2 linked regions of the Macaca fascicularis genome follow. The protein of the gene in region 1 purifies or fractionates together with the protein of each later gene. This does not show direct contact. Links are inferred from orthologs where the notes say so. Each region holds a gene or a part of one and is shown in the gene's direction. Other genes may lie near its edges.

What was found. Proteins that work in one complex are often made in the same cells at the same time.
Region 2: the proteins of MED21 (region 1) and POLR2M purify together in Homo sapiens (affinity purification with mass spectrometry; 3 studies listed by BioGRID and IntAct, with this or other methods). This does not show direct contact. The link is inferred for Macaca fascicularis from reciprocal best matches to the Homo sapiens genes MED21 and POLR2M.

Annotation. Positions count from the first base shown.
Region 1 is NC_088385.1:29,774,440-29,780,479, forward strand, and holds the start of MED21 (mediator of RNA polymerase II transcription subunit 21), read left to right. Parts: upstream 1-2,603; 5' UTR 2,604-2,633; coding exon 2,634-2,675; intron 2,676-6,040. UniProt on the Homo sapiens protein: Component of the Mediator complex, a coactivator involved in the regulated transcription of nearly all RNA polymerase II-dependent genes.
Region 2 is NC_088381.1:34,165,166-34,171,111, forward strand, and holds the start of POLR2M (protein GRINL1A), read left to right. Parts: upstream 1-2,020; 5' UTR 2,021-2,149; coding exon 2,150-2,262; intron 2,263-4,021; coding exon 4,022-4,669; intron 4,670-5,946.

The DNA of each region.
Region 1 (6,040 bases):
TATAGTTATTCATCCCGGCACTAGGAACATTTTAGATATTTAATAAATTGCAACTGTATTAAAGGTATTTAAAAATTGTTAAATTTTTTCTGAAAAAATAGTTGTTACAGTCATAAAAACCAAAGCACTTACAAGATTGACTATTGAGTGGCTCACTGCTGAAGCTGGTGAAGGTTATGTGAGGGTTCACTATATTCTCTACTCTTCTATATCTTTGAAACTTTTAATAATATAAAGTTTCAAAGAAAGTATTCACCAAAATTGTGTGTTTAAAATATGAGATCTGTAATACTGGGTTCCTGCTGCTAAAACCATATAATCCAGTTGGTGATGCCAGAGAAGCAAATGAAAAAGCATATGAGAAAGTGTCCAAATCATGAAAGGAAGAAAGGAGAGGTCCCTATGGACTCTTGCAATTCATAAAATTTATATGAGAAGTGTAAAACTTAAAAAGGTAGGGTAAGGATTAAATAGCAGGAAAGAAATTGCTTTGGGAAAGGTAAAGAATGAGGAAACAGCTAGACCAGTGGTTCTCAGTTGGGGGCAATTTTGCCCCCCGGGGACATTTGGGACTATCTGGAGATACTTCATGTTGTCATAAATGGATTGGGGGGATGCTGCTGGTATCTCCGGGGTAGAGGACAGGGATGCTGCTAAACATCCTACAATGCACAGGTCAGCATCCCACAACAAAGAATAATCTAGCCTAAAGAGTCAAGAGTGCGGCCATTGAGAAATCCTGAGCTAGATGCACAGACTATATTTGGCAGGTGGGTTATTCCTGAAGTCTATGGCTTCAAGAGCTTCATAAACCCCTTTTCAAATGTAGGCTAAGTTGAGAGTCTGGTCTGGGGAAAGGGTCCACAGCTTTTATCTGATTCTTAAAAAGATCCGTGGCCAAAAGAGGCTGAAGAACCAGGAAAACCAAGGGGTCAGGGCCCTTGGCTGAAACAGAGGATTATTTCACTCAGAAAATTATCAAGAGGTGAGGCTGGGTCTGTTTGCTGGAGCCAGATTATAGTAAATCTTGACAACTAGGCAGAGATAGTTGGACATCAACCTGAGGTCTCTGTGGAGACACGGAAGACCTACTAGGAAGATAGTGGCAGGACAAAAACTGTGTCACAATATGAGTTGTCTTGAAGTGACTTCTCTACTTCAAGTGCCCAAGTTCCCTTCAATCACGCTGCAAAACTTAGTATCCTTACGGAGTGGACTAAACTGTATTCAATCAGTCACCAATCCGTATTAATTATTTTTCTCAAAAATATATTTTAGTCTTTTTTTCCTCTCTTATCAGGGTCAACACCCTATTCTAGGCCCAGCTCACCTTAATCTTGGACAACTGCAAAACCTTCCTCTTGGTGAGTCCTTGGCTTATTCATCTTTGCACACTGAGCACTGGATATACTTCCTGGCATGTGGCAGGCATTCAGTAAGGTACACGCTCAAGTGAAGGTGGGAGGAAAAGGTTGTAGATTCCCCCAAGTTACAGTTAGAACAAATTATGGAGTGATTTCTCATTAGTTCCATTATGGGGAGCATGCCTCATCCACGTTCTTAATGAGGCCCCAGTAAGTCTGTAGACTGTTTGGGGATGAGGGTGGGGCATGGGTGTGAAGCAGAAGTGGTGCTTCCCAGCAAGGGTTGGGATAAATCCAGCAAGCTGAGTTCCCCGGGGACTGTGTCCACCACCTACCCCGCAGCCGCAGGAAGGTAATCACGGATAATCAGCCTGAGAAAGAGGATATGAGAGTTTGTTTGATGTCTCCAAACCTGTTATTTGCCGACTCCAAACTCATTTCTTACCAGACTATCCTCAGGCTAAATTTCCTTAAATACCAAGTTTCTATTATCACTCTTCACACTTAAGCTCTCAATAAGTCCCAACTCTAAATCTAAATTGTGCAGCTGATTTTTCTTGGCTGGGCGCGGTGGCTCATGCCTGTAATCACAGCACTTTGCGAGGCCAAGGAGGGCGGATCACGAGGTCAGGAGACGGAGACCATCCTGGCTAACACGGTGAAACCCTGTCTCTACTACAAAAAAAAAAAAAAAAAAAAAAAAAAATTTAGCCGGGCGTGGTGGCGGCGCCTAAAGTCCCAGCTACTCGGGAGGCTGAGGCAGGACAATGGCGTGAACCCGGGAGACGGAGCTGGCAGTGAGCCAAGATCGCGCCACTGCACTCCAGCCTAGGCGACAGAGCCAGACTCCGTCTCAAAATAAATAAATAAATAAATAAATAAAAATAAATAAATATATCTACTCTTCAATGTAGTCAATAAGTAAACACATGAGAGGATAGGAGAAATCACTAAAAAAAAAAAAAAATCCCCGCTGAATCCAACGATCTCTGAAGCCTTTAACACCTAACAACCTCAAAGAGAGTATTTCAGCCCCTCAAAGCGATGGACCCCAGGCCGCTCCCCAGTTACTCAAAAGATCCAGCCTCTCCTCTGGTGTAGCCCGCTCTAAGGCCGCCTCGGCAGTACCACCCACTCCTGACGGGCGGGGAGTTCTCTCCGACCCCACCCCTTCCAAGAAGGCAGCGCTGGGATTGGCCATGACGCGTACCAGAGCTGCCCAGTCGCGGAAGAGCAGCTGTTTTGGCGTCGGTTTGCTGCGGGAAGAACATGGCGGATCGGCTCACGCAGCTTCAAGACGCTGTGAATTCGGTGAGGAATTTCATTCGATTAGCCTCTGTCTTTCTCTTTCCTGAGGTAAAGCAAGGGAGAAAAGGGGCCCAAGAGGCAAAACTTGGAAGTGGAAAGCGGACTGAGAAACAGGGCTTCGGCATAAAGCGCTCTCTCGGGAGGCGCCACCGCGAACTCGGAGGTGTGAGGCCGGCTGCCGGGCGGTGCTTGAAGGTGCGGGAGGGAGCAGCCTCTTTCGCTTGAGGAGACCGGGAAGATTGCTCTTGTCCGGGTGGGGCCGCCAAGACTTGTCGGCTGCGCGGTCCTGTCGTATTCCCTGAGGACAGTTTTATTTTCTTGGCAGCGGTGCTTACATCTCTCTTTTGGGGGTTGGGAGGAGAAGCAGGAGCTCTTTTCTTTCCTCATCAATTTGAATCCACCAAGGGAGATCTCGTGCTGTGGATGACTGGGTTTTTGTAATGAAATGCCAGCCGAGAGTATTCCTTCACCAGCGCTTTCAGGTTGGTGCGGAGCGACGCTGAGGCGAGAGATTTTTCATCTTCGCTCCTTCCTGTGGGCCCAGAGCCTCCTTCCATCTCTTGTCTCTTGGCCACCCCTCAGAATGCATCAGTTTGGGGACATCTTTATGATAGGAAATCTTCTGATTCTCGTATGTCTTTCCGTTTATTTGAGTCTTTCTTTTTTCTTTTCTTTTCTTTTTTTTTTTTTTTTTTTTACTTTGGAGACTGTGTCTGTCGCCCAGGCTGGAGTACAGTGGTGCCATCTCGGCTCACTGCACCCTCCGCCTCCGCCAAACAAGTAGCTGGGATTACAGGCGCCCTCCACCACGCCCGGCTGATTTTTCTATTTTTAGTAGAGACGGGGTTTCACCATGTTGCCCAGGCTGGTCTCGAACTCCCGGCCTCAAGCGATTCTCCCGCCTCGGCCTGCCAGAGTGCTGGGATTACAGGTGTGAGCCACCGTGCCCGGCTTACAAGTCTTTTTGAACGTCTCCCCCAAATTCTACGCTCTATTAAAGGCCAAGTCTTGTAGGTAGCTCCCCAGCTTTGTTCCTTCTGGTAATTTTTCCTCCAAGCTATGCCTGAGTGGAAAGCAGAAGCAAAGCCAGAGGATGCGCATACAGTCATGGGCCCTTAATGAAGGGGTTATGTTCTGAGAAATGCATGGTTTCGGCGATAACTTTTTTTTTTAATAAGTAGAAGTACAATGTATTATAACGATGAAACAGTAAATACATAAACCAGTAACAAAGTCATTTAGTATCATTATCAAGTATCATGGACTGTACTTAATTGTATGTGCTAGACTTTCATACACTGGCAGTGCCGTAGGTTGCTTTACAGCAGCGTCACCACAAGCACAGACCGCTATGATGTCACTAGGCAGTAAGAATTTTTCAGCGTTGTTATAACCATAGGGGACCGACATAATATATGCATCCCGTTGACCAAGACGTCAGTGGGTATTCTCTTGCTGCAATGGGTATACTTATTACCATTACCAGTTACATAGTTTTCTGTTAAATAGTTTTCCATTGATAGTTATGTTTCTCATTGTCTGATTGTGATTTAACGTCCTAGATAAGGGACTAGAGAGAAAACATGCTGAGAGGAAAACCTAAGTACCTGGTTTCTTTGCCAGTTTTTTTTCCTCACTGTAAGCTAATAACTTGGCATTTTTCTTAATACATCAGGCTTTGTACACTTGAAGAGTGTGAATCTACTTGTGATAAACTGATCTACCCTGGGTGAATAACACTAGTTTTTAAGGCTGAGAGGACCAGCTTCTAAATGTTGAATTCACCAAGATAAATTCTGCCCTGCAGGGACTTGCCTGAGCTGCCAGTCAGCCTTCCTCAGGGAACTACTCCTTTGAGATTTTACAAAATCAAATTGTAATGATGCTGCTGGATAGAAATCTTATTTTAGGGAAACTTTTGCATATTCATACATGTCTTGTAACTAGAAGGATAGTAAGGACAGAGTGAATATGGCCTTAACTCCAGGTTAGGCGTACTGATAATTGGATTTTGGAGAAAAGCCTTTAGGATAACTAGTATGAGTGCCTACTGTGTATAAGCACTATCATGTTTGCAAAGAGATACTCCTTAAGGAGGTTAAAAAAATGTCATATACTCAGGAGACATTTAAGTGATGGAAAAACAGTATGTGGTTAGGGAGTTATAATGAATTGAGTATTTTCAGCTTTAGGTTCTGAAGTAAATTGGAATATGGAGTGATGTGAACCAAAATAGAGGGAATCTTCTTAGCATTTATCCTAATCAGATTTGTATAACTTTTAACATTTGTTCTACCCTCTGAAAACCATGAGTGCAGAAGCTATGTCGCATTCACTATGTCTCTATAGTGTTTAAATGTAGTACTTGTCATAGTTATTTTCCATAAAGTTTTGTTGACTGAATGGATCTTAAAAGTTTTTTTTTTTTTTTTGAGACGTAGTCTCTCTGTGTCGCCCAGGCTGGAGTGCAGTGGCCGGATCTCAGCTCACTGCAAGCTCCGCCTCCCGAGCATTCGCCTGCCTCAGCCATTCTCCTGCCTCAGCCTCCCCAGTAGCTGGGACTACAGACGCCCGCCACCTCGCCTGGCTAGTTTTTTGTATTTTTTAGTAGAGACGGGATTTCACCGTGTTAGCCAGGATGGTCTTGATCTCCTGACCTCGTGATCCGCCCATCTGGGCCTCCCAAAGTGCTGGGATTACAGGCTTGAGCCACCGCGCCCGGCCTAAAAGTTTTTGAAGGATGGAACAGATAGACACTGTGTTGAATATTTTGTGTATTTCCTCTTCCTCACAACAATGCTGTAATAGGAGAATGTATCCAATTTAAAAATGAAAAATGCTACCTGGGTTAATAGAGCTGGGATCTACGTTTGTATAGCGTCTGAGCACTTATTGCTCCATTACTATTATTAAAACCTGGGCAAAGCCATTTAGTCATAAGTGACTTTATGACTAGTTAGGTAAATATGAAGGAGTAGTGGAAAACAAGTCAGTAGAGTTGACTTAGATTGTTGAAAGCTTCAAAACAGCCTGAGTTGGAGGTTTACCTTGAAGACAGTGGTGGAGTAAGCTCAAATGTTTTTATCAGGGTAAAATAAATAACCTGGTGAACTGGCAAACAACAAGAAGGCTATTGTAATAATTCTGGTGTGAGATAATTGGTTGAACTAAGCAACAATAATGATAGAAGGAAAAGAGGAAGATTTGTAGTATTAGCATAATTTGAAGATCAAAGGAAAGCAAGAATCTGAAGTTAGACTGGTTGACTAGGAGACTTTCAATACAAATTAAATATTAAACAGAGGAAACAGTTGCCTTTGAGTTCTGTCATTGAAACAATGGCAGAGAAACCCAAAGGAAATGCTTAT
Region 2 (5,946 bases), on another chromosome or scaffold:
CGTCTGAATGAACTTCCTCCTCTAGTCCAGGGTCCTCCAAATTTAACCTAAAAGACTGGCTTAGGCCATGATGGGAAGGGGAGGTCAGACATGCCTCATTATGCCCTTCTTTCTTTTAGAATCCAGGAAAAGCTGCACAGCATTTAATATCAACATCTACCTTAAGTCTGATAAGAAACACTTACAACTTACTTTCTCTGAAGCCTGCTAACTGGAGGCTTCATCTATATGATAAAACTTCGGTCTCCACCACTTCTTATGGTAACCTAGATGTTCCTTTAAATCAACTGCCAATCAGAAAAAAATTTAAATCTACCTATAACTTGGAAGCCCATCTTGCCCCACACCTGCTCTGCTTTGAGTTGTCTCACCCTTCTGGATTAAGCCAATGTTTATCTTAAATGTATTTGATTGATGTCTCATGTCTCCCTAAAATGTATAAAACCAAGCTGTGCACCGACTGCCTTGGGCATGTGTTCTCAGCATCTCCTGAGGGCTGTGTGATGGGCCATGGTCACTCATATCTAGCACAGAATACATCTCTTCAATATTTTATGGAGTTTTTTTTTTTTTTTTTTTTTTTTTTTTTGTTGACACCACAGACAACCAACTGACTCGAGGAGCTTACCTATTTCTCATTCAGCCAATGCTGGAGCAGGTTATTAACATCCTTGAAAGCAAGTCTTATACAGAGAAAACTTATTTTGATATACTAATGAATCTGATCTGAATGGACTAGATTGGGGGGATAAAAAAATGGTTGCAATTGTGCTCCCTGGAATAGCTTTGGAGTTTACCTAGATCTTCTGTCTCTTTGGGATGGAGCTGCTTGTGTTAATATAGCATCTTACATAGGATTGAGACAACTTCAATTTCCTATATAAAAAAATCGGGGGAGGGCAGTAGTTTTGGAGGTTATGGGGGTGTTCAAACCTCCCAAGTGATATCTGCTGTGACTGCATGTCTTCCTACTGTTTCCATTGGGATGCATCTCTGGTAGGTGAACTATAACAAGAAACTAAAAGCTGTGTCCAATACTTACTAAACTGTCTTCTTCTCAACAGCTGGGGGAAAGAAAAAAAAAAGTCTTTTCAACAATTTTGCACATTTGGAGATAGGCCTAAAGTGAAGAAGGGAATTTTCAAATTGGTGTGTTGGAAAAGCCGCTGGGCTTTTGGGTTTGAAATCTGGTGCTGTCACTTACTGGTTTTGTGCCCTGGGAATATTTATTTCAGTTTTCATGACTCTTTTTCTACAGGCAAAGTAGAAAATTATAAAAGGTCCTCAACCAGTTTGTACAGCTGCTCCCACTCCCTCATCACCTCTTGTGGGCCTTTGGAAATGTATGTTGGGGGAGACATTTTGGATTTTTGCAATTACTTGGGAGTGCCATGGCACCTAGCAGGCAGAAGCCAGAAACACCAAATGTCTTAACAATGCCTGAGGCAGTGCCACAAATGAAGTCCTGCTCCAAATGCAATGAGCCCCGAAAAGAATTGCTGATTCTAAGGAACCTTCCAACTTTAACATTTCAGGACGTCCCTAAGCTGAGCTAGGAGGCACCACACACAGGCCGGAGTCTCCCAAATCCTGTCCCGCACTCTCCTCTACCTTATTAACGGCCAACTCATCTTTCAGGTTTCGACTTGTATTTCACTTCTCAGAGATACCTTCCCAGGTGCCCACCCCAACGTCACTATTATATTATTATTTGATTCTCCGTCCCTCCGTCCCCCGCGCCAACTCTGTAAACCCCAACTATAACAGAGGACGTGGCTCTTTGTTGACTAACACATAGTGCTTGGTGAGGTCACGCTGGCGCCAAATACTTTTTGTATAAACCTATGAACAGCTGACAACCGGATGAACGCTCACACGAGGGGAAAGGGCGCCAAACCCAGGCGCCGGCGTCCTCCGACGTAATTTCCGTCCTTTAGCGCTCCTCCGGACGCCCCCTTCTCCCGGTCCGTGTTTGTTTCCGGCATTTCAATAAAGCTCGATTCGGCTCGAGGAAGACCCCGTTCTTCCGGGAAAATGGCGACTCCCGCTCGAGCCCCGGAGTCACTGCAGTCCGCGGATCCGGCGCTAGCAGCGGGGCCTGCCGAGGAAGCCGAGTGCCCGCCGCCGCGCCAGCCTCAGCCTGTGCAGAATGTCCTCGCTGCCCCGCGGCTTCGAGCCCCAAGCTCTCGAGGACTTGGGGCAGCGGAGTTTGGTGGAGCTGCGGGAAATGTTGAAGCGCCAGGAGAGACTTTTGCGCAACGAGTAAGCTGGGGTCCCGCGGAGTCTCCGCCAGGCTCCTTCAGCTCGAGCTCCCTGGGCGCTCCCCTCCCCTCCCCCACTCTGTTTCCTTCCCTGGAAGGTGACCTTGCCTCAGTCACATTCGCCTCAGTCCTACGGGCGAGTGGACGGAGGGCTTGCTGTCGCAGAGCCGTGCCTCTTCCTGGCCAGGCACGTAGGCCTGCGAGGATGGCTCGGACTGAACGGCTACTTATTGTTGCAGGCAGTTAGTAGCCCCTCGTTGGTTTTATTTGCCCGGGGACTGTGTTAGTTCCATGAAGCAAGAGTCTTCATTCTAAACCCTTTTGTCGCCCGCACCCCTAACCCATAACAAATTGTCAGCTTCGTCTCTGGATTCTACGCTTACAGGAACCGTAGGAAATGGGAAGAGTGGGATATGAAGAGGCGTTTATTAGGCCGGGAAAGTTCAACCCCCAGTCAGCTGGTTGATTTAACGGATTTTAGCAAGGGAGCCACGTGATAAAAGTGATTTTGTTTTTCAGGCAGCTTTGTTTAGCAGCTTGTTGCAAAAGATGGTTTGAAGGAATAAAAAGCGGGAGACAGTAGATGGCTATTTTCAGAGAGGCTCCCCACGAGACAGTTGTAAGAAAGTGAACTAGGAAGGGATTGGGAGAACTTTTAGGCATAGAGTCATTTAAATGTAGTTGACAGAGATGGCTGAGTTTTCCAATTTGTATGGAAGACCACTAGCAAAAATAGGAATATTCAGGGAGAGGAATAGATCCGTGGTTGATTTTACGTAGGGTGTTCAGAGTTGAGGGGAGAGCGGGACAGACATTTGACTAATTGAAAACCAAACACTTAAAAGCTGGAGAAGTTGTCATTAGGCTCAAGAAAGAGAGAACTCTGGAAAAATATAGAAAACATAGGAATTTCAGCTGTAGAGTGTTGTTAATAGTTGAAATAGTGGGAATGAATGTAGTGTCAAAAAGAACAAAGGACCTAAGATTTTTCTCTCCATTTATTGTATAATTAAAGAAAAGAGAATCAAAAAAGGAACTCTGTCATCTAGCAAAAGGGACAAATAAATAATTGATTGGGATCAAGGCAGGTGTTTTTACCTTGTGAGAATAGGTTTTTAATCTGTAGTAGTGAATTAACTTTTTGGTCTCAGGACTCCTTTATACTTTAAGATTTTTTGACATCCCAAAGAACTATTTTATGTGTTCTGTCTAGTGAAGTTTATTTACTTATCAGAAATACAGCTGAAGTCTTTAAAACATAAGCATACACAAGCACACATTCTATTCTAGAACAATGATGTCATCATATGTCATGTAGCCACTGGAAAACTCCGCCGTACCCATGTGAGAAAATGAGAGGGAAATAACATCTTAGTATTATTATGAAAGTAGTTTTAAAATAATAGGCCCATCCCCACACTCCACCCCATCCCCAAATTGTGGGGATTGCACTTTAATGACTGCTGGTTCTTAGAATGTCTTATGTGATTATTACATGCTTAAAATACTTTTGCCGAAATTCTAATTTGCTGAGACAAATGAGGCATATATTCCCTATTCCAGCATTCCCTTGTTTTTTTGTGCTGTTTGGATAATGACCGTTTTATTTGTTTTATTCCTGTTTTGGGGCAGTTAGAAATCAGATATTTGACTTAAAAATCAGCTTTTCTTTCTTTGAAGATAATGCTTTGCCTTTTTAATGTTATATGTCAAGTTAAAAACATGGCTGTAATGTGTATGTATTCTTTTCCATTTGACAGAAAATTCATTTGCAAATTGCCCGACAAAGGTAAAAAGATCTTTGACTCTGTTGCCAAACTGAAAGCTGCTGTTGCAGAACATGAAGAAGTTAGAAGAAAAAGTGAACTGTTTCACCCTGTTAGTTTAGACTGTAAGCTAAGGCAAAAAGCAATTGCAGAAGTTGATGTGGGTACAGATAAGGCCCAGAATTCTGACCCGATACTTGATACTTCATCACTAGTTCCTGGGTGTTCCTCTGTAGATAATATCAAGTCATCTAAAACAACCTCACAAAACCAGGGACTTGGACATCCTACTCATGAAGGTGATGGAGAGACTCCAGAGGTTGAGTACACAGTGATTAAGGGCCCAGCTTCCAGCAACAGAGACAGGGTACCGTCTTCATCTGAAGCTAGTGAGCATCACCCGCAGCGTCGTGTTTCAAGTCAAGCAGAAGATACTTCCAGCAGCTTTGACAACCTGTTTATTGACAGGTTACAGAGGATCACTATTGCAGACCAAGGTGAACAACAGTCAGAAGAAAACGCAAGTACTAAGAACTTGACAGACCTTTCTAGTGGGACTCAGAAGAAGCCTCATTACATGGAAGTGCTAGAAATGCGAGCCAAAAATCCAGTGCCCCAGCTGCATAAATTTAAAACCAATGTGTAAGTACCATCGGAAACAGGCCTATAACAGGAACATGATATTTGTTAAACTCAAAAAGTTAAGAGAAACTGGGTGTCGTGGTGCTTGCCTGTAGTCCTAGGCTACTCAGGAGGCTGAGGTGGGAAGACAGCTTGAGTCCAGGAGTTGTAGACCAGCTTGGGCAACTTATAATAAGACCTTTTCTCATAAATAAGGAGAATGCTCTAAGTTCCATGGGCTTTGTATGAGAACTACTTGTAGTTAGGAAAGAACATATTGTGGAAACACTGAGACCAGCCTGGCTGGAGTGGAAGGTTCATGCTGAAAAATATTTAGTTTTGAAACTAAGTAATTGACAGGGTCTTAAATAGCACTTGGGGGAATATTAAATTTCAGGACGCTTAGCCAATATTTCATAATAAACACAGAGTTGGAGAGAATTTATTATGACGTCTTTTTTTCAGAACTATTTTTTAGTGTACAGCTCTGATTAGTGTACTATCAAAGTGTACTCTCTTTGATTAGTCTGCGAACTAAGGGTAAAGCAATTGCAGGAGCTGATCGGCTTTCCAGCAAAAATTATTTGTATGCTCACTGAATGTAAGCAAGCAGCAGGTGTTGTGGGGACACAGTGAAGTCAAGATTCTTAAACTTCTTTGCCTTTTTGATGTTATACCTCAAGTTTAAAAACATGGCTGTAATGTATACATGTATAATGTAATACAACACCATGTTCTTCAAGGAGTTTCAGAGCTAGATGAGGACACAAGGTTTACACCCTTGGAAAAGAGTTAAGCTACATAATAACAGTTTCAGGGGGAAGGAAGCTGAGGAGAGTTTGAAAAACTGAAAATAGATTCAGGCAGGATAGGCAAAAACTCTCCTTATCAGTTCCTTGCCATAAATTTGTTTCTGAAATTTCAGGAAAAGTAAAGTCTTTTTGAAAATAATTGCTATTTACTTGCAGCAAATGTAACATTCAACTCAAAAGGTACCTTCCTATACTGTATTTACAAGTATGTAACATCAAATACAAAGTTAAATTACTACTACCTTTCTTTGAAAAACAGAAAATCTCTAGTGAAAAGTGCCTAACACATGCTTCTTTTTTGTTAGACTTTAACTCTACCCCAGCATTCATTTTAACCGCAAAACATTTTATTTCTGCCGTATAGAAAATCAGGATTATACTGCATTAATGTGATCAAGTCATCTCTTGTGTACAGTGAGGTGTCTTTCTTCACTTCCAGGATGACATTTTAGGAAACTAGAACCATCATCTAGTCAATAAATACAA